Linked DNA regions of Macaca fascicularis. The protein of the gene in region 2 interacts with the protein of the main gene of each other region in a pairwise test. Links are inferred from orthologs where the notes say so. Each region holds a gene or a part of one and is shown on either strand. Other genes may lie near its edges.

Region 1 (4,884 bases), on a different chromosome or scaffold from region 2:
AGGGTTTCAGCGTTAAAACCAGGCTGTTCTGGGCAAACGGCATAAGCTGGTCACCCCACACCCAGACCTGACCCAAACCCAGCTCCCTTGCTTGCTGGCCACGTAACCTGAGAAGGGACTCCCCTCTTCCCTGAACTCCAGCCCACCCCAATACTCCAGGCCTCCTGGGATACCCCGAAGAGTGAGTTTGCCAAGCAGTCACCCCACAGTGGGAGGAGAATCCACCTGAAAGCCGGCCTGGCGGACTGGGCTGGGGCGACCTCTCGCCGGGTCCAGGCCAACTAGGTGGCCTGGGGCCTCTGGGGGATGCAGGGGAAGGGGGCTCAGTCTGAAGAGCAGAGCCAGGAACCCCTGTAGGGAAAGTGCAGGAGAGCCAGGGGCATGGGATGGTGACGAGGAAGGGGGACAGGGAACCTGAGCGCCTCTCCTGGGCTTGCCAAGGACTGAAACCCAGGGGCCCGGAGCAGGGCCTTAGGGAAGAGGGGCCCCGGGACCCCGCTCCGGGCGGAGGAGTATGTCCCAGATAGCACTGGGCCTCTTTAAGGAAAGAAGGATGGAGAAAGAGAAGGGGGTAGAGGCGGCCACGACCTGGTGAACACCTAGGACGAACCATTCTCACAAAGGGAGTTTTCCACACGGACACGCCCTCCTCGCCACAGCCCTGCCAGGGCGGGGCGGCTACTGGCCTTATCTCACAGGGAAAACTGATGCACAGAGGAACAGTACAAATTCGGTGCTAGAAAGGTGAAGACCCAAAATTAGAACTCAGGACCAACTTATTCTGATTTTGTTTTTCCAAACTGCTTCTCCTCTTGGGAAGCGTAAGGAAGCAGCAGCACCCGGCTCAGTGAAATGCACCAGACGGCCGCGCCAGAGCAGCTCAGGCTCTGGGAGAGGGCAGCGCAGGGCGGCCACTGAGAACCAGCAGGTCGCGCATCCCCCTTACCTCCCACCCCCCGCCAAGCTCTCCCTCCCAGGATCCTCTCTGGCTCCATCAGTAAGCAAACCCTAGGGGTTCTGGCGGGGAGAGAGAGGTGGCTCCAGGAAATGGGGGTGTGTCACCAGATAAGGAATGTGCTTAAAAGGAGGTGGGGGTCAGGCCCAATATCTGGAGACTAGGAGGGAGGAGGCCTAAGGATGGGGCTTTCTGTCACCAGTCCTGTCCCTAGTGGCCCCACGGTGGGGTGGAGGGGACAGATAAAAGTACCCAGAACCAGAGCCATATTAATCGGTCCTGGGAATATAAGGTGGTCCCGGCTCTGGGACACAAGATCTTGTCCTGAAGTGGCCATGGGGGCCCGGCTTGGAAGAAGAGGACCAGCCGAGCTCTGGGACCCCTGGAAGATGCCGTGACAGGGGCCGGAAGAGCGAGCACAGACTAGAGAGGTAAAGGGGGTATGGGAGCTGCCCGAATTAAAGAAGTGAGAGGTGACCCAAATCCACAGGAGGAGGGGGTGTCCAGGCAAAGAAAGTAAGAGGATGGAGAGGTGGCTAAAGCCAGGGAGACAGGGACTTTGGGGTTGTCGGGAAAAACGGTGATGATGCAGGCCTACGAGAAGGGGAGGTGGGGACGCAAGGGAGAGGCATCCCACAGAGAAGACCATCCTAAGAAACGAGAGATGGCACAGGCCCCAGAAGGAGAGGGAAAAGGGAACCCAGCGAATGAAGATGGCATGGGGGTTGGGGTAGGGAGCAGAGATGCCCGGAGAGGACCCAGACAAGGGCAGGATCCGCTCCGAGGACACCACGTGGTGCAGCGCCGAGAAGGAAGTGCTCTGGAAAGAGCATCCTTGGGCAGCAACGCACAGCACAGAGCAAGGGGAAGAGGGATTGGAGGAAGCTGGAACCTGAAGGAGGTGGTGGGGAAGGATCTGGGCCTAGCCGTAGGGGTGGCCCAGGCCACAAGCTGCAGGCAGAAAGCGGCACAGGTTCAGGGGAGAGAATGCAGGTCAGTGAAAGCAGCACCCGCCAGGAAAGGGGAAACAGCGGGCCAGAGGCGGCGCAGAAGCCAGTAGAGCTCAAAGTGGTCCGGACTCAGGAGAGAGACGGCCGCATTAGAGGGCAGAGTAGAGGGGGCACAGCAAGGGCACTCGGCGGCGAGTGGAGGGCAGCGCAAAGTGACAATGGCCAGGGCCAGGGAGATAGACGAGAGTGAGCTATGGGAGCTGCCTCAGGTTCAGGAGAGGGCAGGGCAGGGAGAGAGACAAAGTCCAGGGCCGGCTAGAGAGGCTCAACATCGGAAGAGGGGAAGTCGAGGGAGGGATGGTAAGGGGGACTGCAGGGGTCAGCACAGGCTGGCAAAGCCAGGGCCAGTTAAAGCGACTCCAATGCGGAAGAGGGTAGATCGAAGGGGACTGGTAAGGATGCCTGGGGCAGGGTGGTAAGCACAGAGTGGCAAAGCCCAGGGCCACTTGAAGCAGCCCCAATTCGGAAGCAGGGTGGTCGAAGAGGGCTGGTAAGGGGGCGCTGGGACGGGGTGTCAGCATAGGGTGGCAAAGCCCAGGGCTAGGAACGACGGGGCGGATCGAGACTGGCAACGGCGGCTCGGAACCGGGGAAGGAGGATGCCCCAGGCGGCGCTGCGGAGGGTGGGCCTGGCCCCGGGAGACGCCGGAGGGGGCGCTGACCTGGTGCAGGGCGCTGATGCCGTCGGCGTTGGTGGAGTCCAGCACTGCGCGGGCGGGCGGCGGCGCGGCGGGGTCGAGCTCGGCGCCGGGGCCAGGGTCGGCGGCGCACAGCATCAGACGCGCTTCGTCCAGGTCGCCGCCCGCACAGGCCGCCAGGAACTCGGCGGCGCGCTCGAAGCGGACGGTGCGGGCGCGGCGCTCTCCGGGGCCAGGCTCGGCGCCCGCCCGCGCCCCCCACTGCCGCAGCTGCTCCCGTCGCCGCTCCCGGGCAGCCGCCGCCGCCGCCCCCGGGCCAGCCGCCGGGCCATCCTCTCCGGACATCGCACCGCCCGCCCGCCCAGCGAGCGAGCGAGCGAGCGCCGAGCCCCAACTGCCGCCGCCGCCCGCCCGCCCCGGGGGCCGCCGGGAACTGCCGCTGGCCCCCCCCACCGCCGCAGGGATCTCCCGGCCCCCGCCCGGCGCGCCGACGTCACGGCGCTGCCCCAGGGTGTGCTGGGCAGGTCGCGGGGAGCGCCGGGAAATGGAGTCCATAAGCGGAAGTTGCCCCTGGCCACTTTCAGGAGTCGCTGTGCCCCGATGCACACTGGGAAGTCCGCAGCTCCGAGGCGCCCAGTGGAAATCACCGAATGAGGGCCTCCTCCGGGGAATGCTGGGAAATGGAGTCTGCAGACCGGAGGGATGCCCCACGGCATACTAGGAAGCGTAGAGTACCGGGTAAAGGGGACGAAGAGCAGGCTGCCCCAGGGCAGTTAGGAAATCGACTGGACAGCCGCGTGGCAGGGAGTGCGGGGAGAGGCAGGGTTGTTTTGTTATTGTTGTTTTATTTTGTTTGTTTTGAGACGGAGTCTCGCTCTGTCTCCACTCTGGAGTTCAGTGGCGCGATATCCGCTCACTGCAACCTCCGCTTCCCAGGTTCAAGCAATTCTCCTGCCTCAGCCCCCAGAGTAGCTGGGATTACAGGCGCCCGCCACCACGCCCTGCTAATTTTTATATTTTTAGTAGAGACGGAATTTCACCATGTTGGCCAGGATGGTCTCGATCTCTTGACCTCGTGATCTGCCCGCCTCGGCCTGTAATCCTGCTGGGATGTCGGGCGTGAGCCTCCACGCCCGGCTGGGTTTTATTTATTTTGGGTTTTTTCCTGATCCCTTAACTCGAAATAAGCTCCACGAGGGCAGGGACTTTTGTCTTCTGTGCACTACTTGTCCTTGGTTCGTAGAACAGAACCTGAGAGTACGTGATCGCAAATATTTTTGGAATGAATGAATGAATGGGTTCACCAGGGCACCATGGGAAACTGAGTCCACAACCCAAAAGCCGTGAAAGACGGTCCATATCCAGGCTTCCCTGGGTGACCTCCCAGGGCATGCTGGGAAATGAAATTTGCGGTGCAAAGGTCAGGACCACGATCCTAGGGCACGCTGGGAAATGTAGCCCACAGGGCCACACCCCTAAAAACACAGCGGGTGGAAGGCATCTCGGGCTCGGGGCAGGAGAAGTCCACAGTCCCTAGTGGTAATCCCTGAACCACACGGAGGAAAGGAACCCAACAGTGACAGGGCTCCCAGAGCCTTCACTGGTCCGCGCTTCTTCTGCGCCCAACCGGACCTCCCGGGACCCGTCCAGGCCCCCGCGCGCTCTCAAGGCATGCTGGGATTGGTGGTCCCGGGCGAGGAGTTCCAGCAGGTGGGGGGCGAATCACCTTACAGCGGGCCCAAGCGATGAGCACACTTTAATCTTCACCTTGCGGATCCCGCGCCTAGCTCCAAATTGGGAAGGTGGCTGGCACTTTGAGACAGGAAGAGACCGACCAAAATCACACAGAATTGGGCCAAAATCCAGACAGGCTACAGACGGTTTCCCAAGCGCTGTGGGAGTTTCCCACCCACTCTGAAGTCCTGGGTTTGCGCGGAGAAGTAAACTGTGCATCCCACGAGGCCTGTTTCTTTCCCTCTCTCTTTCTTTTCCTTTTTTTTTTTTTTTTTTTGTTGTTGTTGTTGTTACGAAAATTTTTGTGGTTTTATTGTATCATGAGGCATTGAAACATTCGAACCACTCTGTCTGGGTGAGGCAGCTGCTTTCTCCTTCTCTTTCTTTGGGTTACTAGAGCAACTTGTCAGATTTTTTTTTTTTTTTTTTTGGGGGGGACGGAGTCTTGCTCTGTCACCCAGGCCGGAGTGCAGTGGCGCAATGTCGGCTCACGGCAAGCTCCACCTCCTGGGTTCGAGGGAGTCTCCTGCCTCAGCCTCCCAAGTAGC
Region 2 (5,024 bases):
GTCTGCTGCCAGGTAACAAAAAGTTGTACTTTCTAACAATTGGATATACCACAAGAAGCCAGGATCAAAAGTAAATACAAATTGCTGGGTTTTATAACTTTAAAATATTTGCTATTTCCTTCCTTTTTGTGGCAACACTACGCTTTGAGCAACCCACGTTTCATATATGCTACATTTTCTCTCAAGAAACATAACAAACATGGTTCTGCCAGAAGGAAGAATGTTGAGTTTTCAAGATTCCACCCAAGCTGGAAAGTATTTTTTTAAAACATGTGCAACTGGCAGGAAAAAGAACATGGAAGTGTCTTCTCAGAAGCACCCCACCTACTTATCTTTCAAGTGCATCTCAGAAGCCTTTAGTGACTATTGCCCCCACATAAAACTAACTCCCCCCAATTGGTTTCCTCAAGCATACTCAGATCACAGCAACCTTGGCAAGTTATGCTGCCTATTGTTTCACACACCTGTTTCTTCCTGCAGTGTAAGCCCCCTAAGGGCAGGGGTGTTTTTTATCTTCAGCTTTGTATCTCTAGCTTAGCACCATGATTGAACACTGTAAGTGGCTCTACTAATATTTTTTAAATGTGTTAGTCAAAGGATGAAAAATGTTAATGCACCTATTTAAATCACATTATTATGAAACAGTGAGATCTGCAGATCTGCTTTTTAAGCACATAACTTATAACTTAAGTAGGATAAAATTTAAACTGTAAACCACAATTAAGGAGAGAAAAACTACCACCACCACACAACCAATAAAGAGTCGAGGTCTGAGTTCTGAGCACCTAAAGAGGCAGGCTTGTTAGGAAGAAATATTTCTATCACTAAATAGATACTCATGCATCATAAAACAAAGCATGCCTCTTTGAAGTCTAAAGAATATGGCAAGACTGGGCCCAGTGGCTCACGCCTGTAATCCCAGCACTTTGGGAGGCCGAGGCAGGAGGACCACCTGAGATCAGGAGTTCGAGACCAGCCTGACCAACATGGTGAAATCCCGTCTCTACTGAAAATACAAAAATTGGCCGGGCATGGTGGCAAGCGCCTGTAATCCCAGCTACTCAGGAGACTGAGGCAGGAGAACCATCTGAGCCCGGGAAGCGGAGGTTGCAGTGAGCCGACTTGCACAGCTGCACTCCAGCCTGGACCACAGAGTGAGATTCTGTCTCAGGAGAAAAAAAAAAAATATGGCAAATATACACAGAAATGAACAGGAGGGGAAACAGAAGGGGTGGTGCACTTTGGTGTCCGCAAAAAATACAGCTAAAAAAGCATCTACTTCAAGTATAAGCTCTACCATGACTTTCTAAAGAATTAAAAAAAATTTTTTTTCCCATACCTCCATCTGACACCCTTGTCAATTTAATCTTTCCGTTCAATCTCACACTCTGCTGTTACCAAAATGCAAACAGTAGAGTAGAGTCACCTGTAATTTAGGCGAATAAACAGAACTTCCTTCACTATTGACTATTACGAAAGGTTTGAGAGATGACTAGCCTGGGATCATCTGTTCCCTGCTGGGGGGAGGTTTGAAAAATTCATATGTAGGGGAGAATGGGAAGGTAATTTAAAGCAAACCAGGTAAAAAGAAATCCACTTTAAATAAAGTTGCATTTGGGAATGTACAACAATCCTCTCAAGTGCCTCCAGAAACGCTGTCTTTGGTTCCAGAGAGTTCCACAATCGCACAACCTGCTGTTATAAACTGGACAGCATGCAGCACCTTGCTTAACTAAAAGCCCTCTCGTTTAGCTCGCTAAACTGTTACCCCACATTCCCTAAAAGCCGTCATTACGGTCAAAATATCCGCAGCATTTATCAACTAAAAATGTGGAAACCGAGTCTCACCCTTTTAAAAACTCCATCTGCTGCGGGGAGCCAGTGCTCATCTTGAGTATATGCGAATCTTGCCCTTATCTAGAATATCCTATTTCCCATCCATATGCCTGGCTCTAGCAAAACAAGGACCCCCAACGGCGCTCCTTTACTGCTTCTCAAGAAACCTCCATGTTCTGACCTGACTACTCCTCGAAACACAACACCACCCGCTCCTCAAACCTTTCTCTCTGCCTTACCTGCAGTTTCCAGAACGCACTACGAGGCTTCACTTCTGCTACTTTCGCACTTACCGCCGGGAGCCTTTTTCCCCAGCTCCCACCATCTAACCAAGTACCTTCAAGACTCAACAGAAGCATCACCTCCCCTCCCAAGAGAGGTCCTTTCAGACCCTACTTGCGTCTCTCAGATCAACCCGGGCCTGGGTTTTCACGCCTGCTTTCCTAGAAACCAAACTCCTGCGAGCAGGGGCAGAACCTCCTTCCACCTGCATTCCCCGATCATTACACATCCTCTGGGCAAGAGGTGACGCTCAAAGACTGCTTGGGGTCGGCCGCGAGCGCTCAAACACCGCTCAAACAGCACGAGCCGAGGCGACGCCGGGGTCAGGGCTGCATTCCTGTCCTAGCGAGCTCTGGAGTCTGGGAAGCGCCAACGTCTGCACTCCCAGTTCTGAGTCCCGGGGAGGAACCGGCTTCTTTCTCTGAGCCCCGGAGAGGGGCAACTGTGCGGGGTCAGGGGGGACACGCTCCGGACTACTGGGGTCTAGTGACCGGACAACTTCGTCAGGATGTGGCCCACGAGGTGAAGGAGAAACGCTCTTCAGTACCAAAGAGCCAGAGGCAGACAGGAGGAGGAGGAGGAGGAGGGGAAGAGGGAGGTCAGGGCCCGGGTCACCGGAGGCGGCGGCGGGCGGAGGGTCCCGGGCTGCAGCCGCGCGGAGAGACCAGGGCCCGCCGCGGGGACTGAGACCCCCCGGAGGCTCGGGCTGCGCTGGCCCGGCCCCCGCCCCTCGCGACGGGCCTAAAGCCGCGGCCTTGCGTCCGGCGCCTCCCGGGAAGGCGCGCCCGCCTCAGGTCCCGCCAGGCCGCCCACCCGGGGCCGCCGGGGTGCGACTTACCTGGCCCGCCCGGCCGACTCTGCCCATGGGCCGCGGCGGCGGCAGCGCGGAGCCGGGCGGCACTCCGCGGAAACCCGCCGGCGGCAGGAGGCCTCGGCGGCGCCCACCCTCCGCTGAGTCCTCAGGGCGCTCTGCGGCGCGGGGTCAGGGAGCGCGGGCTGCCGGGAGAGCGCGCCCGCGCCTGCGCCGCGCCTGCGCCAGCGCCTGCTTCGGCTTCTGCGCCTGCGCCGAGGGCGCCTTGCCGCACTGCCCCCTGCCCGCGGGAGGACCGCACTGCACGCTCCCCTCCGCCGGCGTCGTCTTCTACCGTCAAGAGGTGTCGCCCTGGCGCACATTTTCGAAATTCCACAAGGTTTGGGGAGCGCGGCAGCGCCCCTAGATGGTGAGGAGGAGAAGTGGTCCGAGGCCCGGCTTTATGATGGGGAGGTGGGGGAAGTCCCTCCAGGCCCCTCGCTCTCATTCATTCAAAACCTCTCCTATATAAGCAAAAAGTTGAAAATAAGTCTGCATAGGCGAGATGCTGCAAAAGGATGGCAAGGAGCACGGGGTTAAGCGTAAGATTAAGGAAACAGATGCCGCGATTAGGGGTACAGAGAAGAATGTCAATGCTATAAAGCCTCGGTCTTTAAAAACGACATCGCTGACAGAAGTAGGGAGGGGAAGGGAACGTGGGACTTCGGGTTAATATGATTTTTACATCTGTAATTGGGTCTCAAATAAAGTTCAAGCCGATAAATCAAACAGTAGAGATTTAAGCAGACGTCTTAGTCGGAAGGAATATACCAAGAAAGTTACTATAATCCATTAAAATCCAGTGATTAAGAAAACGGGAAATGGGGGAAAAAAGAAATATAGTGGAGAGACAAAAGACAATCTAAAGAAAGAGAGGATTAAAGACGTCATGGGATGGTATAATTCTGAAGGTAACCCAGAACAAAACTACAAAGTTTTCAAATAATCCACACATACATGCACACACACACACACACACACACACACACACACACACACACACAGCAAAACAAACCAATATAGGGAAATATTTGAAAAAGTTACAAAACAGAAAGCACAACCAAACTATATGACAGAACAAGACCAAATGTCTCACAAGAAGAAATATAGACCTAAGCTTACCTATTAAAAAACTACAACCTCAGATTGGAGCCCAAACCATCATGCAACTCAGTGTTGTATACAAGAAAGTACTAAAGTTATTCTGAGTTTGAAAAATACAAGATTGGAAAAGATATACCAGGATAATGCAAAAAATATTTTTAAAAATCAGGAATCACAAACAACTTACTCAAACGTTGATTTCAGGGCAAAAAGCATTAAGTAAGAGTAAGAAGGGCATTTTATAATCTTGAGAAGCACAATTCACAATCAAGAAAAAAATGGGAAAAATAGGAAAATCTTTGCACCAAATCACATAATCTCATTATTCATAGCAAACACTGTAGGAGTGAATGAATAGGCAGAAATAATTGGCACATTCCTTGCCAGACTAAGGGTACAAAAAGTAAATGAGGATTGAGAATACCTAAAAATACAATTCCTAGGATAGATATCAAATGCTGTCCCCTAAATAGACATAACATCTTTCCTAGTGTCTAAGGAATATTCACAACAATTAGTCCTATTTTAGACCACAGAGAAAAATCTTAATATAGTCCAGTAAGTAGAATCATATGGGTAATATTATCTGCAGCAATTCAATAAAAGTAGAAATTAATGAAAAAAAAAACAGAAAATAAAGCATGCCTACCCCTTGAAAATTTTTAAATGCTCAAATAACACTTGGAACAAAAAGGAAAACAAAATCAAAATAACATAATATCTAGAAAAGTATGAAAACGACATACTCATGGGATTTAGCTCAGATAGTACTAAGAGGAAAATTTATGGTTTTAAGTTTTTGTATCAACTAAAAACTTGGAATTAAGTGAATTAAGCACTTGTGAAAGCAACTGGAAATAAAATAAAAATGTGAAAAGCAGAAGGAAGTACTTGGTCAATAAAAGAAGCAGAAAGTAATAGTGTGTAAACAGAAAAAGGAAGAAGAGCAAAG
Region 3 (4,842 bases), on a different chromosome or scaffold from region 2:
ATTTTGAATAAATGAATTAGGGAGAGGTCCACGAACGCCCTCCGCTCCCACCCTAGTCCTCAGAGCAATACTTTAAAATAAAAATCTGACCATTTCAACCTTGTTAAAGGCCGATCTTCATTCTGAGAATAGCTTTTTTTTTTTTTTTTTTTTTTTTTTTTTTTTTTTTGAGCGGAGTCTCGCTCTGTCGCCCAGACTGGAGTGCAGTGGCCGGATCTCAGCTCACTGCAAGCTCCGCCTCCCGGGTTTACGCCATTCTCCTGCCTCAGCCTCCCGAGTAGCTGGGACTACAGGCGCCCGCCACCTCGCCCGGCTAGTTTTTTGTATTTTTTAGTAGAGACGGGGTTTCACCGTGTTCGCCAGGATGGTCTCGATCTCCTGACCTCGTGATCCGCCCGTCTCGGCCTCCCAAAGTGCTGGGATTACAGGCTTGAGCCACCGCGCCCGGCGAGAATAGAATTCAAACTCCTAAGCACGATGGTGACCTCAGGGCGCTGTGTGAACCTGCACCCACACCCCGTCCAACCACGTCCCTCTCCACACCTGATCTAATAAAATGACTGCTTAGGTGACCTGCAAGACCGGCTGTACTAATTTATGCCACAGGCTTTTACCTCAATTACTCCCTCTTTCTGGAATGTCCTTTCTTTCCTTGCCTGGCCTGATTCAGGCATAGTCTTCTCAAACAAGCTTTCCTTCTTTGAATCTAGGTCCTGATTAATAACTTTTTAAAAAAGTACTAAGTACAGAAAAGTTTAATATGATGCTCCCCCATTTATGTGATTAAAAATGAAAACAATACTAAAGTGTAAAATGTAATCTTTAAAAATGTCACACAACTTTACATGCATGCTAGATTTAGAACACCGTCTGTATTTACGATTTTCTCTCATTGACTGTCTCCACGCGCACCCACTCTGCAGACGCCCTTAACAGTGTCTACTGGATCACCCTCAGGTTGGGTCAAACGCTCCTCTTCTCGGCTTTTCGGGCGCAACCGTATGTCAACATTCACCATCTTAAGATGAGCAGACTGCAAGCGTGGGAGCTGCCGAAGTGGCGAGAACAGCGTTTCCGTCGATCAAGCGCCAGGCCACCGGTCAGCTCCAGTCCTATTTTGAGTTGAAGTAAAAGCTACTCCCTAGATGGCCAGTGCACGTCTTTAAAAAGCGGCTCCCTTCCCACAAAGGAAATACGACTGGTTCGCATCTGTCAAGGGTTGGCGTTGGGATAAGAGAGTGAAATATCAGCTGGCCCTGGACAAGGAGATACTCTGAATTCCCGGACCCAATAACGTGACCAAACACCGTGACTCCCAGGAAAACTAGCGTAGTGAGCGCGGCTGAGGAAATTACTGACACCGGAAGTCACGTGAGCGGCTTCCCCCAAGGTCGCTATCTCGACAGTCGACTATTCAGCCTTGCAGGCTCCTCTGGCGGGCTTCGCTGAGATCCGCTCTTTCGGTGCTCGACTCGCCCGTGCTGCTGCTGCCGCCGAAGGAGGGGCAAAGCTCAAGATGGCGGACAAAACGCCAGGCGGATCTCAGAAGGCCAGTTCAAAGGTAATTTCTGACAAAATTTCGTAAGTCAGCGGATCTACCACTGTCGTCTGGGGCCCACAGACGCTTCTGGCCTGTGAGAGGCGATTGGGATTGGGGTCTGCGTTCTGCTCGGGACGGTAGGCCCGGGCGCCGCCGCACCGTGGTGCGCAGGTTGAGAGGCCTGGTATCTCCCCTTATTCCCAGCCTGGATTCAGCTCGAAACTGGCGTGCCCAGGGGGTGGTGGCGTGAGTGCTTCGGCCCGCACTTGGCGTTGGAGTGAAATCAGGAATTCAGATTGAGGTCTGAAGTCGTGAAAACGCTCTCCTGTATTTCAGCTTCCTGCGCCCTGAGGCCTCCAGACAGCGCCTGGGAGAGAGGCGGGAATCGCTTCCCGGTGCTTAAGTGCTGCTTTTTTCTCGGTTTTGGATCTCACTCACTTCCGGCCTCCCTCAGTTTCCCTCCAAGGAATAAATAATCTTTAGGGTCGCCAGCTGTGAGGGGAGGACCACTAGGGCAAAGACGCGAAGTGGGAAATGCAGAGGCGGGAGCAAGCTCTCCTTTGCAGTGCTTCATAGCCAAGGTTAATGTACACGCTACACGTGGTCTTTACCTTAAGGGGAAGTAAAAAGCACTTTTTAGGGTAGAGGACTCGTGGTCTCTTTCTTCATGTTGAAGAAACACAGTGAAAAGAGAAGCCCCGTAGACTTTTAAGCTACATACGATTAGTAAATTGCATTTGTGTTTACAGGGAATCCTGTGCACGTATTGTGAAACCAGTGAGCTGTGGTAGTAGTTCAGCATTAGTAAGGTTGGGTTCTTAGTTGCCATCTTGGGCGGGACATTTAATCGTTGTTTGCTTTGGTTTTCTGGTCTCGAATATATTAATTGGTACTGCCACTAGGTAGTTAAACTTCCCGATGCTGATGCAAAAAGGTGTATAACACTTTTTTAGGTGCTGGGGACTGTTACATCTTAAAGAGTATGTGTGACTATAAATCAGTTATTAGAAAGTTAAATTTACTGTAGGAGAGAAGCTTGCTTTTACAGTTCTGAGAAACACCAACTCGTTTTCTACTTGCGTTCTCTAATCCGACTGTTTATGCCACTTGGTGAATGATGTACACCAAAATAATTAGTTCATAATTAGTAATGGTCTTACCAGACATCCTTTAGTTACGTAGAAACTTTGATAAGGGGCCAGTTTCGGCTGCTTTACAAGGTGTTGTGTCAGTTTTTTTCCCTCAGTACATTTCGTCTTCTCCCCCTCTTTGGGGGCGGGGGGAATACAGGGGTAACTCGCTCTACCAACTCTTCTCAACAGACTCATGACAAGAACATACCGTTAAGGAGCTATTACTAAAGTTAGCTACGTTCATAACAAGTCATGCATAAGCCTCACAATTTCTGTTTCTTCTCAAAGTAATATTTTAAGTATTCCCTACTTGAGGTCTTGGATACATTGAAAACATTTCAATGTCTGTGTTCAGACTTCCTTCTGAAATAGTACTTTTCATGATTGTGAATGATGGCTGTTCCCTATAAATAAATTATTGGATTATCCAGTAATCTTTTCTGTTTATATTGTCTTAGATTATAATCTCTTGATGCTGTTAACAGATTTCTTACTGATGTCTGTAAAAGGAATCAGAATATCTTAACTAATTTGGAGGCTGCATAATGTAGTGGGAAGATTATGAATTTTGTTAGCAAAAGAGATTTGGGTTTAAATCGTGACTTGGTAATTAATTATATTTGCGATAATATTAAGGCAGATTGCTTAAACTCTGGAACCTCAATTTCCTCATTTGTAATGTAGATATAATTCTTTTTTTACAAGGTTGATATAAGGATTAAATGAGCTAATGTCTATAAAGTACAACATAATAAATTGTAGTTTCTTTCCCCTCACCTTTTTTGTTTTTAGAGGAAATAAGTTCTTAACTTTCAAAATGTCAGGATAAATTTTAAACCTGTGATTTGGAATCTAAGTAATCAGCCGTCATAATGACTGCCCAGATAGCTGCTTTTTATTTTTATTTTTATTTTATTTTATTTTATTTTTGTGAAGAAGTCTCACACTGTTGCCCAGGCTGGAGTACTGTGGCACAGTCTCTGCTCATTGCAACCTCCGCCTCCCGGGTTCAAGTGATTTTCCTGCCTCAGCCTCCTGAGTATCTGAGAGTACAGGCGCGCACTTCCACACCCGGCTAACTTTTTGTATTTTAGTAGAGATGGGGTTTCACCATGTTGGCCAGGATGGTCTCGATCTCTTGACCCTGGTGATCCACCCGCCTCGGCCTCCCAAAGTGCTGGGATTACAGGCGTGAGTCACTGTGCCCCGCACTGCTTTTTATTTCTAACACAAAATTTGTTAGAGAAAGTGTAAGATCATTTTGGCTAATACTACAGTATTTGGAATTTCTAGCCTTTGATATCTGGTTTGATTTCCTTTCCCCAGGAAAGAACAGATGAGTGGCTTATGTTTTACAATACAGATGGAGTGAACAGATACTTCTGTTTCATGTTTCGTCGTTTTCTTTGGTAGTTAAATTCCCATTAATATGGATAGGGATGCTTATATTTCTAGACATTGGGAAAATGGTAATTTTAAAATATACAGTATGGCAAAACTATTAACATTTCTTAATTATAAAAAGATTAGATTAGATAACCTCTACAGGTCTTCTAGTTGCTTTTTTTTTTTTTGAGACAAGAGTCTTGCTCTGTCGCCCAGGCTGGAGTGCAGTGGCACAATCTCAGCTCACTGTAACCTCTGCCTCCCGGGTTTGAGCGATTCTTCTGCCTCAGCCTCCCGAGTAGCTGGGACTACAGGTGCCCGACTAATTTTTGTATTTTTAGTATTTTAGTATTTGTATTTTAGTATTTTAGTATTTTGTATTTTAGTAGAGACGGGGTTTCATCTATTGGCCAGGCTGGTCTGTAACTCCTGACCTTGTGATCCCCCGGCCTCGGCCTCCCAAAGTGCGGGGATTACAGGAGTGAGCCACCGTTCCTGGCCTCTAGTTTTAAAATGATACTTTATGAATGTATACTTGAATGACTTATCTTTATTCATAATTGTCCCTAGTGAAGAGACCCCTATGCACTTTAATTTTCTGTGTAATTTTGTTGTTCTCTGCATTTTAGAGCCTGGCAGGTGTAGACATTTAATAAATGTTCTAGAAATGAGCTAAAATTTTCCTGTGCATTTGTTTATCACTAGTCTAAAATATTGCTTGGCTGGGGAGGGGTGTTGACGTTATGTTGTAGCTTTGATTTTGAGAGGACAGAGAGCTAGTCT
Region 4 (4,318 bases), on a different chromosome or scaffold from region 2:
CTCCAGTTCCCATGTCTGGCTGTGGACCTCAGGAGGGACTTGTTCCCCAACATATTTTCTTAGATTCTCAACCAGGGTCACCTGAGCCTCCAAGTCTTCCTGGGTCTTGCTAGGGTTGGGGTGGGAATGGGACAGCCATCAGTGGGGCACCCTGCAGACCCACCACATCACCAACTGCTGGGCCCCCGTCGGCATCCACCCACCTACCTCAGCTGCTTCCGAAGCAGCTCGGCCTCCCTCTGAGCCTCGGCCAGCTCCTTGGCTTCCCCTGCTCTCCTGGTTTCCAGACTACTCAAAGACTGCTCCAAGCCCTCGGCCTTGCTGGTCAAACTGGAAAGAGCCTCCTGGTGAGCCTGTGTCAAAGAGGACAGCTGTGGAAAGAAGAGGAGGCTCAGCAGGAGCTCGACCCCACATGGAGGCCTTCCTTGTTCCCTTCACTCCCACTTTCTGTGACCTTAGACAATGACCAAACCAATCACCCAACTGCGCATAGCAAATGGAGAGCTGGTAACTCACTCTCTGCAGTTGCCCCACAACCCATCGGGAGTTCTTGTTCAATCTCCCCCAAAACATATCTTCACCTCTCTCCGTCTCCGTCTCCACTGCCACCAACCCAAGGTAAGCTACCCTCATCTCTTGCCTCGCAACAGGGACCATCTCCTAACTAGTCTTTACAAACCCTCGGTGGCTTCTCACAGCATTCACAGCAAAACCCAGGCATCTCTCCACACCTGCAGGCCGGGGGACCCAGCCTCTGCCTGCCTCCTGAGTTCACCCTAGAGGCTCTCCTAATGCTCCCCGCTCCAGCCACAGGGAGTCCGCTGAGAACCAGACAGCGGCCCCTCCTTGCTCCACAGACCCCAGGTGATAGCCCCTCCTCAGGGTGGCTTCGCTGGGCCCTCTAATAACCCTCACCACCCTCCTGTGCCCCATCAACTGCTCACGTCCTCCCGAGCACTTGGCACTGACCATATCTTGCTTATGTGTATGTGTTACTATCTGTCAGACCACATCGGAAGGAAAGTTCTAGGAAAGGAGGAATTTTGTGTCTTTTGCTCATGGCACCTCAAAGGGTTGCAAGGGTGTCAGAGCCAGCAACAGTCATGGGATGGACTGGGAAGGAGGGCAAAGTGGCCACCCTGCTTCCTGGTCTGCCTCCTCTAGCCCCGTCTCCATACAACAATAAAGTTAATTTGGGGGATATAAATGACAAAACTTTTTAGACATAAAATACAAATCTAATCATGTCATTTCCCTGCCTAAAACCCTTCAACAGTTGCTTATCACTTAAAAAAACAATTTTGTTTTCTTTTTGTTATTTTGGAGATGGAGTTTCACTTTGTTGCTCAGACTAAGTGCAATGGCACAATCTCAGCTCACTGCAAACGCTGCCTCCCAGGTTCAAGCGATTCTCCTGCCTCACCCTCCCAAGTAGCTGAGATTACAGGCATGAGCCACCACGCCCAGCTAATTTTTGTACTTTTAGTAGAGATGAGGTTTCACCATGTTGGCAGGGCTGGTCTCGAACTCCTGACCTCAAGTGATCCACCCACCTCAGCTTCCCAAAGTGCTGGGATTACACATGTGAGCAACTATGCCCAGCCCTAGTTTATTTAATAAAATAGAGATGGGGGCTCACGTTGTTGCCCAGGCTAGTCTCAAACTCCTGGGCTCAAGTGATCCTTCTGCCTTAGCCTCCCAAAGTGCTAGGATTACAAGTATGAGCCACCGTGCCCAGCCTGCTCATTGCTCTTAAGGGAAAGTAGCAAGTTCTGAAGTGGCTAAGGCCTTGTGCCCTGGGTCCCATGCTCTGCAGCACACTCAGCGCCCCTGATCTCTATGCTCCAGCCTTCTGGCCTCTGCCTGTCCCCGCCTCCACCGGTTGTCCTGCCGAGTGTCCTCCAGCGACCATTGGACCTCACACGCCTATTCACTGGCCAACTCCTATTCAGCACAAATGGTAGCTTGCTAGTTTTTTTTAGTCTCGCTCTGCTGCCCAGGCTGGAGTGTGGTGATCTCAGCTCACTGTAACCTCTGTCTCTCAGGTTCAAGCAATTCTCCTGCCTCAGCCTCCCAAGAAGCTGGGGCATTACAGGCGCCCACCGCCATACCCGGCTAATTTCTGTATTTTTTGTAGAGACTGGGTTTCTTCATGTTGGCCAGACTGGTCTTGAACTCCTGGCCTCAAGTAATCCTGCCCACCTCAGCCTCCCAAAGTGCTGGGATTACAGGTGTGAGCCACTGTGCCCGGCCTAGCTTCTTGTTTCTAAGTTTCTTTCATGAATCTCCTTTGTCCACTTTCTGACTGGATTGCTGGTCTTTCCCTTACCAATTTCTAGGCACACATTTTATATGAGGGATATTACCCTTTTCTTGTGATCTGAGCTATAAATAGAGCTTTTTTTTTTTTTTTTTTTTTTTTTTTTTTTTTTTTCCCTGCCATTCCTAATGTTCATGTTATAAAGTCAATGGATCAATCTTTTCCTTTACGGCTTCTAGATTTTGGATTTTGACTCACAGGTAGAAAGGCCTTGCCCACTACAAGGTTACAAAGAATTTCTCCCTTGTTTTCTCCCAGTTCCTTTTTTATTTTTTGCGACAGAGTCTTGCTCTGTTGCCCAGGCTGGAGTGCAATGGCATAATTTCGGCTCACTGCAACCTCCACCTCCCAGGCTCAAGTGATTCTCCTGCCTCGGCCTCCTGAGTAGCTGGGATTACAGGTGTGCATCACCATGTCTGGTGAATTTTTGTATTTTTAGTAGAGACGGGGTTTCACCATGTTGGCCAGGCTGGTCTTGAACTCCTGACCTTGTGATCCACCTGCTTCGGCCTCCCAAAATGCTGGGATTACAGGCGTGAGCCACTGCACCCGGCCTTATGGTTTCTTTCCTTGACATGTCCAATTGGTTACAGTGGCCTTCCCTGAACCCCAGACTAAGTTAGTGCTCTCTAGTCCTTCGCCTTCAAGGCACTCCTCCTGATTGCAATTAATTATGATTAAATTAAAAGTGGATGTGTGTATCCCCCATGAGGCTGTCAGTTCCATCCATGAAGGCAGGATTCAGGCTAATTTGGTCACTGAGTCTGAGATGGCAAAGAGTAAGCACTGAGTTTGCAGACTGAATAATCTCTCTCTCCCAGTCCACCATAGCCCCTTTATATCCACCTTCCTCACTGCCCTCCACAATACCCCCGATGAATTGGTACCCAGAGTAAAGCAGGGAGGCAAACTACTTCCTACTAGAAAAGGAAGCAGGGCTTCAAGTCGTGGGAGGCCACCTGAGTCTTGGGGAAAAAGTGCAACCTGAATTAAGATCAAAATAACCAAATTCTCCATCTTTCTAGGCCATGTGTGTTTCTTTTCACCAAAGGTCTCATCACTCCACTACTCACTACTCATGGAGAGTCTCTTCTGCAATACCTGTTCTTTGCTTGGAAGCTACTGCCCAGCTCTCCGTTATGAATTTAAATCCTTCCCACCCCTGCATTCACCTGCTCTTGGTGCAGCCTCTGAACCTCTTCCAGCTCGCGCTGGCTCCCCTCTTCCAAGTTCTTCCGGACGACCTCAGCCCCAGCCAAAGCAGCACGCAGGCCCTCGGCCTCAGCTCGGCCGGCCTTCTCTGCCTGTGCCAGGGCCTCCAGCTCCATGGCCTGGGCCTCTAGCCTCATCTTCTGCTGCAGTGAGGTCTCCCGCAGGAGCCGGACCTCCTCCTCCAGCCGCCGCAGTTCTTGCAACTGCCGAGCGATCACCTCAGCCTGCTGGCTCAGGGCCTGTGACCCCTCCAGCTCCCAGGACCTTCAAAGACAGGTTAGTGCAGGTGAGACTTGTCTCCAGTGCTGGAAGGATAGTTGAGGGTGTAAACATAGCCAGAAGGAAAAGAGGACCTCTCTGCCCCCGTGTGAGGAGGTGAAGGGGGTGCTGAAGCTGGGGTATGGGGATGTCTGCATTGACATTATTATCATTCATCAAAGCCCTATTGAGCATGTTAAGTCCAGTGCCTGGACTCACAGGACCTAAAGTCTGGCTGAGATGATGGAACATGATCTCCCTAGAGAGAGCTACATACAGACAGATTCAACATCAAATGTGTATATCATTAGGCCACACATTCTTTTTGTTTTTTGGTGTTTTTTTGTCTTATTTATTTTTTATTTTTAGGCCACACATTTTAAGTGGAAAGGTTGGAAGAACAGAGACTTCTCAATTCTGATTTAAGGGCAAGAAGTTTGAGGGAGGAATGGGCATAGAGAGAGCTGAGCTTCCAGTATCAATATGGTGAGGCCAGGTGCTAGTTAAAATGCATTTATTGAGTGTTAG
Region 5 (4,318 bases), on a different chromosome or scaffold from region 2:
TGCGACTACCATATCACTCCAGCCTGGGGAACAAGAGCAAAACTCCATCTCAAAGCAGAAAAGAAAAAAAAAATGGCCAGGCATGGTGGCTTAAGCCTGTACTCCCAGCACTTCGGGAGGCCAAGGCGAGCGGATCACAAGATCAAGAGATCAAGACGATTCTGGCCAACATGGTGAAACCCCAACTCTACTAAACATACAAAAATTAGCTGGGCATGGTGGCACACGTCTGTAGTCCCAGCTACTCAGGAGGCTGAGGCAGGAGAATAGCTTGAACCCAGGAGGGGGAGCTTGCAATGAGCCGAGATCACACCACTGCATTCCAGCCTGGTGACAGAGTGAGACTGTCTCAAAAAAACAAAAAATTGGCCGGGCACGGTGGCTCAAGCCTGTAATCCCAGCACTTTGGGAGGCCGAGACGGGCGTATCACGAGGTCGGGAGATCGAGACCATCCTGGCTAACATGGTGAAACCCCGTCTCTACTAAAAAATACAAAAAACTAGCCGGGCGAGGTGGCGGGCGCCTGTAGTCCCAGCTACTCGGGAGGCTGAGGCAGGAGAATGGTGTAAACCCGGGAGGCGGAGCTTGCAGTGAGCTGAGATCCGGCCACTGCACTCCAGCCCGGGCAACAGAGCGAGACTCCATCTCAAAAAAAAAAAAAAAAAAAATTTAGCTGGGTGTGGTGGTGGTGTACCTGTAGTCCTAGCTATTTACTATTTAGCAGGCTGAGGTGGGAGAATCACTTGAGGAGTTTGAAGTTTAAAGTGGCCTATCATCTCACCACAGTACTCTAGCCTGGGCAACAGAGCAAGACCCTGTCTTTAGAGGAAAAAAGGGCCCCTTGTGGTGGCTCACGCCTGTAATCCCAGCACTTTGGGAGGCCAAGGCGGTTAGATCGTCTGAGGGCAGGAGTTCGAGACCAGCCTGGCTAAATGGCAAAACCCCGTCTCTAGTAAAAATAGAAAAATTAGCTGGGCATGGTGGTGGGCACCTGTAATCCTAGCTACTCAGGATGCCGAGGCAGGAGAATTGCTTGAATCTGTGAGATGGAGGTTGCGGTGAGCTGAGATCGCATTATTGCACTCCAGCCTGGGCAACAAGAATGAAACTCTGTTTCAAAAAAAATTTTTAAATGCCGGCCGTGGTGGCTCACGCCTATAATCCCAGCACTTTTGGAGGCCAAGACGGGCAGATCACCTGAGGTCAGGAGTTCGAGACCAGCCTGACCAACATGGTGAAATCCCGTCTCTACTAAAAATACAAAATTAGCTGGGCGTCATGATGCATGCCTGTAATCCTATCTACTCAGGAGACTGAGGCAGGAGAATTGCTTGACCCGGGAGGTTGAGGTTGTGGTGAGCCAGGATCATGCCATCGCCCTCCAGCCTGGGCAACAAGAGCAAAACTCTGTCTCAAAGAAAATAAAAATGTTGGCCGTTTTGGCTCACGCCTGCAATGCGCTAGCACTTTGGGAGGCCGAGGTGGGTGGAGCAGTTGAGGTCAGGAGTTCAAGATTAGCCTGGCCAACATGGTGAAACCTCATCTCTACTAAAAGTACAAAAATTAGCTGGATGTGGTGGTACATGTCTGTACTCCCAGATACTCGGGAGGCTGACGCTTCAAGAATTGCTTGAACCTGGGAGGTGGAGGTTGCAGTGAGTGAGCTGAGATCGCACCATTGCATTCCAGCCTGGGCGACAGAGTGAGAGTTCGTCTGGGAAAAAAAAAACAAAAAAAACACAAAGTTTTGATAATAGACTCCAGCATATCTGTAATCCCAGCTACTCCTGGAAGCTGAGGCAGGAGAATCGCTTGAACCTGGCAGGCAGAGGTTGTAGTGAGCTGAGATTGTGCCACTGCACTCCTGCCTGGGCAACAGAGAAAGTCCATCTTTTAAAAAAAAAAGTTTTGATACTTCCTTGTTAGACCCTAGTTAATTGTCTTGCTTGCTCTCTGGGGTGGATACATGTCCCTGTGATTGTAATGTGCTGCTGGACAATTCTGTATTTAGTTTTACGTATTATGTCCTCAGAAGCCTTGAGTATGCCAGTGTTTTCTCACATTGTGCAGGGCCCCTGTCTGGGATCTCTTTTTTTACCTTCCTTGGATGCTGGATTTTCAGTGTTGCCTGGTTCACTCACTGATGAATCTTGTTGCTTACAGGTCCAGGTGCAGGTACAGCAGTCTCCGCAACAGGTCTCGGCTCAGCAGCTCTCCCCACAGCTCACCGTTCACCAGCCTACTGAGCAACCCATCCAGGTCCAGGTGCAGATCCAAGGCCAGGCACCACAGTCAGCAGCCCCCTCCATTCAGACCCCGTCTCTGCAGAGTCCCAGTCCCTCGCAGCTGCAAGCAGCTCAGATCCAGGTGCAGCACGTGCAAGCGGCCCAGCAGATCCAGGCTGCAGAAATCCCGGAGGAGCACATCCCACATCAGCAAATCCAGGCTCAGCTGGTGGCTGGCCAGTCTCTTGCTGGTGGTCAGCAGATCCAAATCCAGACCGTGGGTGCCCTTTCCCCACCACCATCCCAGCAGGGCTCACCCCGGGAAGGGGAGCGGCGGGTTGGCACAGCCAGTGTCCTCCAGCCAGTGAAGAAGCGCAAAGTGGACATGCCCATCACTGTGTCCTACGCCATCTCAGGGCAGCCGGTGGCCACCGTGCTGGCCATTCCACAGGGCCAGCAGCAGAGTTATGTGTCTTTGAGGCCAGACTTACTGACAGTAGACAGTGCCCACCTGTACAGTGCCACTGGGACCATTACTAGCCCTACAGGAGAAACCTGGACCATCCCTGTTTATTCTGCCCAGCCCCGGGGGGACCCTCAGCAGCAGAGCATTACCCACATTGCCATTCCCCAGGAAGCCTACAACGCAGTTCACGTCAGTGGCTCACCCACGGCCCTGGCAGCTGTTAAGCTGGAGGATGACAAGGAGAAGATGGTGGGCACCACATCTGTAGTGAAAAACTCCCATGAAGAGGTAGTGCAGACCCTTGCAAACTCTCTCTTTCCAGCACAGTTCATGAATGGCAACATCCACATTCCAGTGGCTGTGCAGGCTGTGGCAGGCACTTACCAGAATACGGCTCAAACTGTCCATATATGGGACCCCCAACAGCAGCCGCAGCAGCAAACTCCCCAGGAACAGACACCACCACCACAGCAGCAGCAGCAGCAGCTCCAGGTTACTTGTTCAGTAAGTGAAGACTTATCAGTAGGGCAGGCAGCCTGGTCCCTCAGGGCCCAGTGCGCAAAGAGCTTGCCTGGCAACCTCTGGCTTATTTACTGCTGTTACTCTTACAGTGATACAGTATTTAGTATTTGGGAGGAGAGGGGGAGAAACAGCACTTGAGGCTGTGCAACAGAAAAAAAGGTTTATCCTGGTACATGGAAGTAAATGAGATGACCAGGAATTGCTTTGGAGTTTTGGAGAGATTTTGGGTTTAAGTACCATGGACACTTCTTTGTAATCTCTTCTCAGGAAGAGTAAAGTTATAGGTGTAGATGAATGGGATACCTCAAGTGTGTCCCAGGTGCTGCTTCCTTGTATCATAAGTAAATGGTTCTAGCGAAACACTTGTAGTTTATCACATAGATTACAAATATCACTGGAGAGGCTGTGAGATTCTTTGTTCTGTTTTTCATCTTTGGGCACACAGTGTGGGTGAATTAGAAAAGCTAAAATATCTCTTAATGAGCCTGTTAAAAGTGATAACCATTGGGAGGCTTGAATATGCCGTCTATGCAGTGGGACCTCCCAAGAGTGTTTTTGTGTTACTTGAAAACGGGCAGCCGGGCAAGGTGGCTCACGTCTGTAATCCTAGCACTTTGGGAGGCCGAGGCGGGTGGATCGCAAGTCAGCAGTTCAATACCAGCCTGGCCAATATGATGAAACCCCATCTCTACTAAAAATACAAAAATTAGCTGGGCGTGGTGGCAGGCACCTGTAATCCCAGCTACTCAGGAGGCTAAGGCAGGAGAATCACTTGAACCCAGGAGGCAGAGGTTGCAGTGAGCCAAGATTGTACCATTGCACTCCAGCCTGGACAACAAGAGCAAAACTCCGTCAAAAAAAAAAAAAAAAAAAAAAAAATATATATATATATATATATATATATATATATATATATGGGCCAGGCACGGTGGCTCACGCATGTACTTTGGGAGGCCGAGGTGGGTGAATCACCGGAGGCCAGGAGTTTGAGATCAGCTTGGCCAACATAATCCTGTCTCTACTAAAAGTACAAAATTAGCTGGGTGTGGTGGCACACACCTGTTATCCCAGGTAATCCTACACGGGAGGCTGAAGCAGGAGAAT

The links.
Region 1: the proteins of RBM17 (region 2) and PPP1R12C interact in binary tests that used the Homo sapiens proteins (3 or more experiments, as listed by UniProt). The two-hybrid records come from large-scale screens. The link is inferred for Macaca fascicularis from reciprocal best matches to the Homo sapiens genes RBM17 and PPP1R12C.
Region 3: the proteins of RBM17 (region 2) and U2SURP interact in binary tests that used the Homo sapiens proteins (3 or more experiments, as listed by UniProt). The link is inferred for Macaca fascicularis from reciprocal best matches to the Homo sapiens genes RBM17 and U2SURP.
Region 4: the proteins of RBM17 (region 2) and CCHCR1 interact in binary tests that used the Homo sapiens proteins (3 or more experiments, as listed by UniProt). The link is inferred for Macaca fascicularis from reciprocal best matches to the Homo sapiens genes RBM17 and CCHCR1.
Region 5: the proteins of RBM17 (region 2) and QRICH1 interact in binary tests that used the Homo sapiens proteins (3 or more experiments, as listed by UniProt). The two-hybrid records come from large-scale screens. The link is inferred for Macaca fascicularis from reciprocal best matches to the Homo sapiens genes RBM17 and QRICH1.

What each region holds. Positions count from the first base shown.
Region 1 is NC_088393.1:62,990,989-62,995,872, forward strand, and holds the start of PPP1R12C (protein phosphatase 1 regulatory subunit 12C), read right to left. Parts: upstream 3,041-4,884; 5' UTR 2,948-3,040; coding exon 2,627-2,947; intron 1-2,626. UniProt on the Homo sapiens protein: Regulates myosin phosphatase activity.
Region 2 is NC_088383.1:7,036,605-7,041,628, reverse strand, and holds the start of RBM17 (splicing factor 45), read right to left. Parts: upstream 3,092-5,024; 5' UTR 2,957-3,091; intron 1-2,956. UniProt on the Homo sapiens protein: Splice factor that binds to the single-stranded 3'AG at the exon/intron border and promotes its utilization in the second catalytic step. Involved in the regulation of alternative splicing and the utilization of cryptic splice sites.
Region 3 is NC_088376.1:45,814,585-45,819,426, forward strand, and holds the start of U2SURP (U2 snRNP-associated SURP motif-containing protein), read left to right. Parts: upstream 1-1,489; 5' UTR 1,490-1,516; coding exon 1,517-1,561; intron 1,562-4,842.
Region 4 is NC_088378.1:141,514,686-141,519,003, reverse strand, and holds part of CCHCR1 (coiled-coil alpha-helical rod protein 1), read right to left. Parts: intron 3,797-4,318; coding exon 3,493-3,796; intron 372-3,492; coding exon 208-371; intron 110-207; coding exon 1-109. UniProt on the Homo sapiens protein: May be a regulator of keratinocyte proliferation or differentiation.
Region 5 is NC_088376.1:112,040,640-112,044,957, reverse strand, and holds part of QRICH1 (transcriptional regulator QRICH1), read left to right. Parts: intron 1-2,164; coding exon 2,165-3,196; intron 3,197-4,318. UniProt on the Homo sapiens protein: Transcriptional regulator that acts as a mediator of the integrated stress response (ISR) through transcriptional control of protein homeostasis under conditions of ER stress.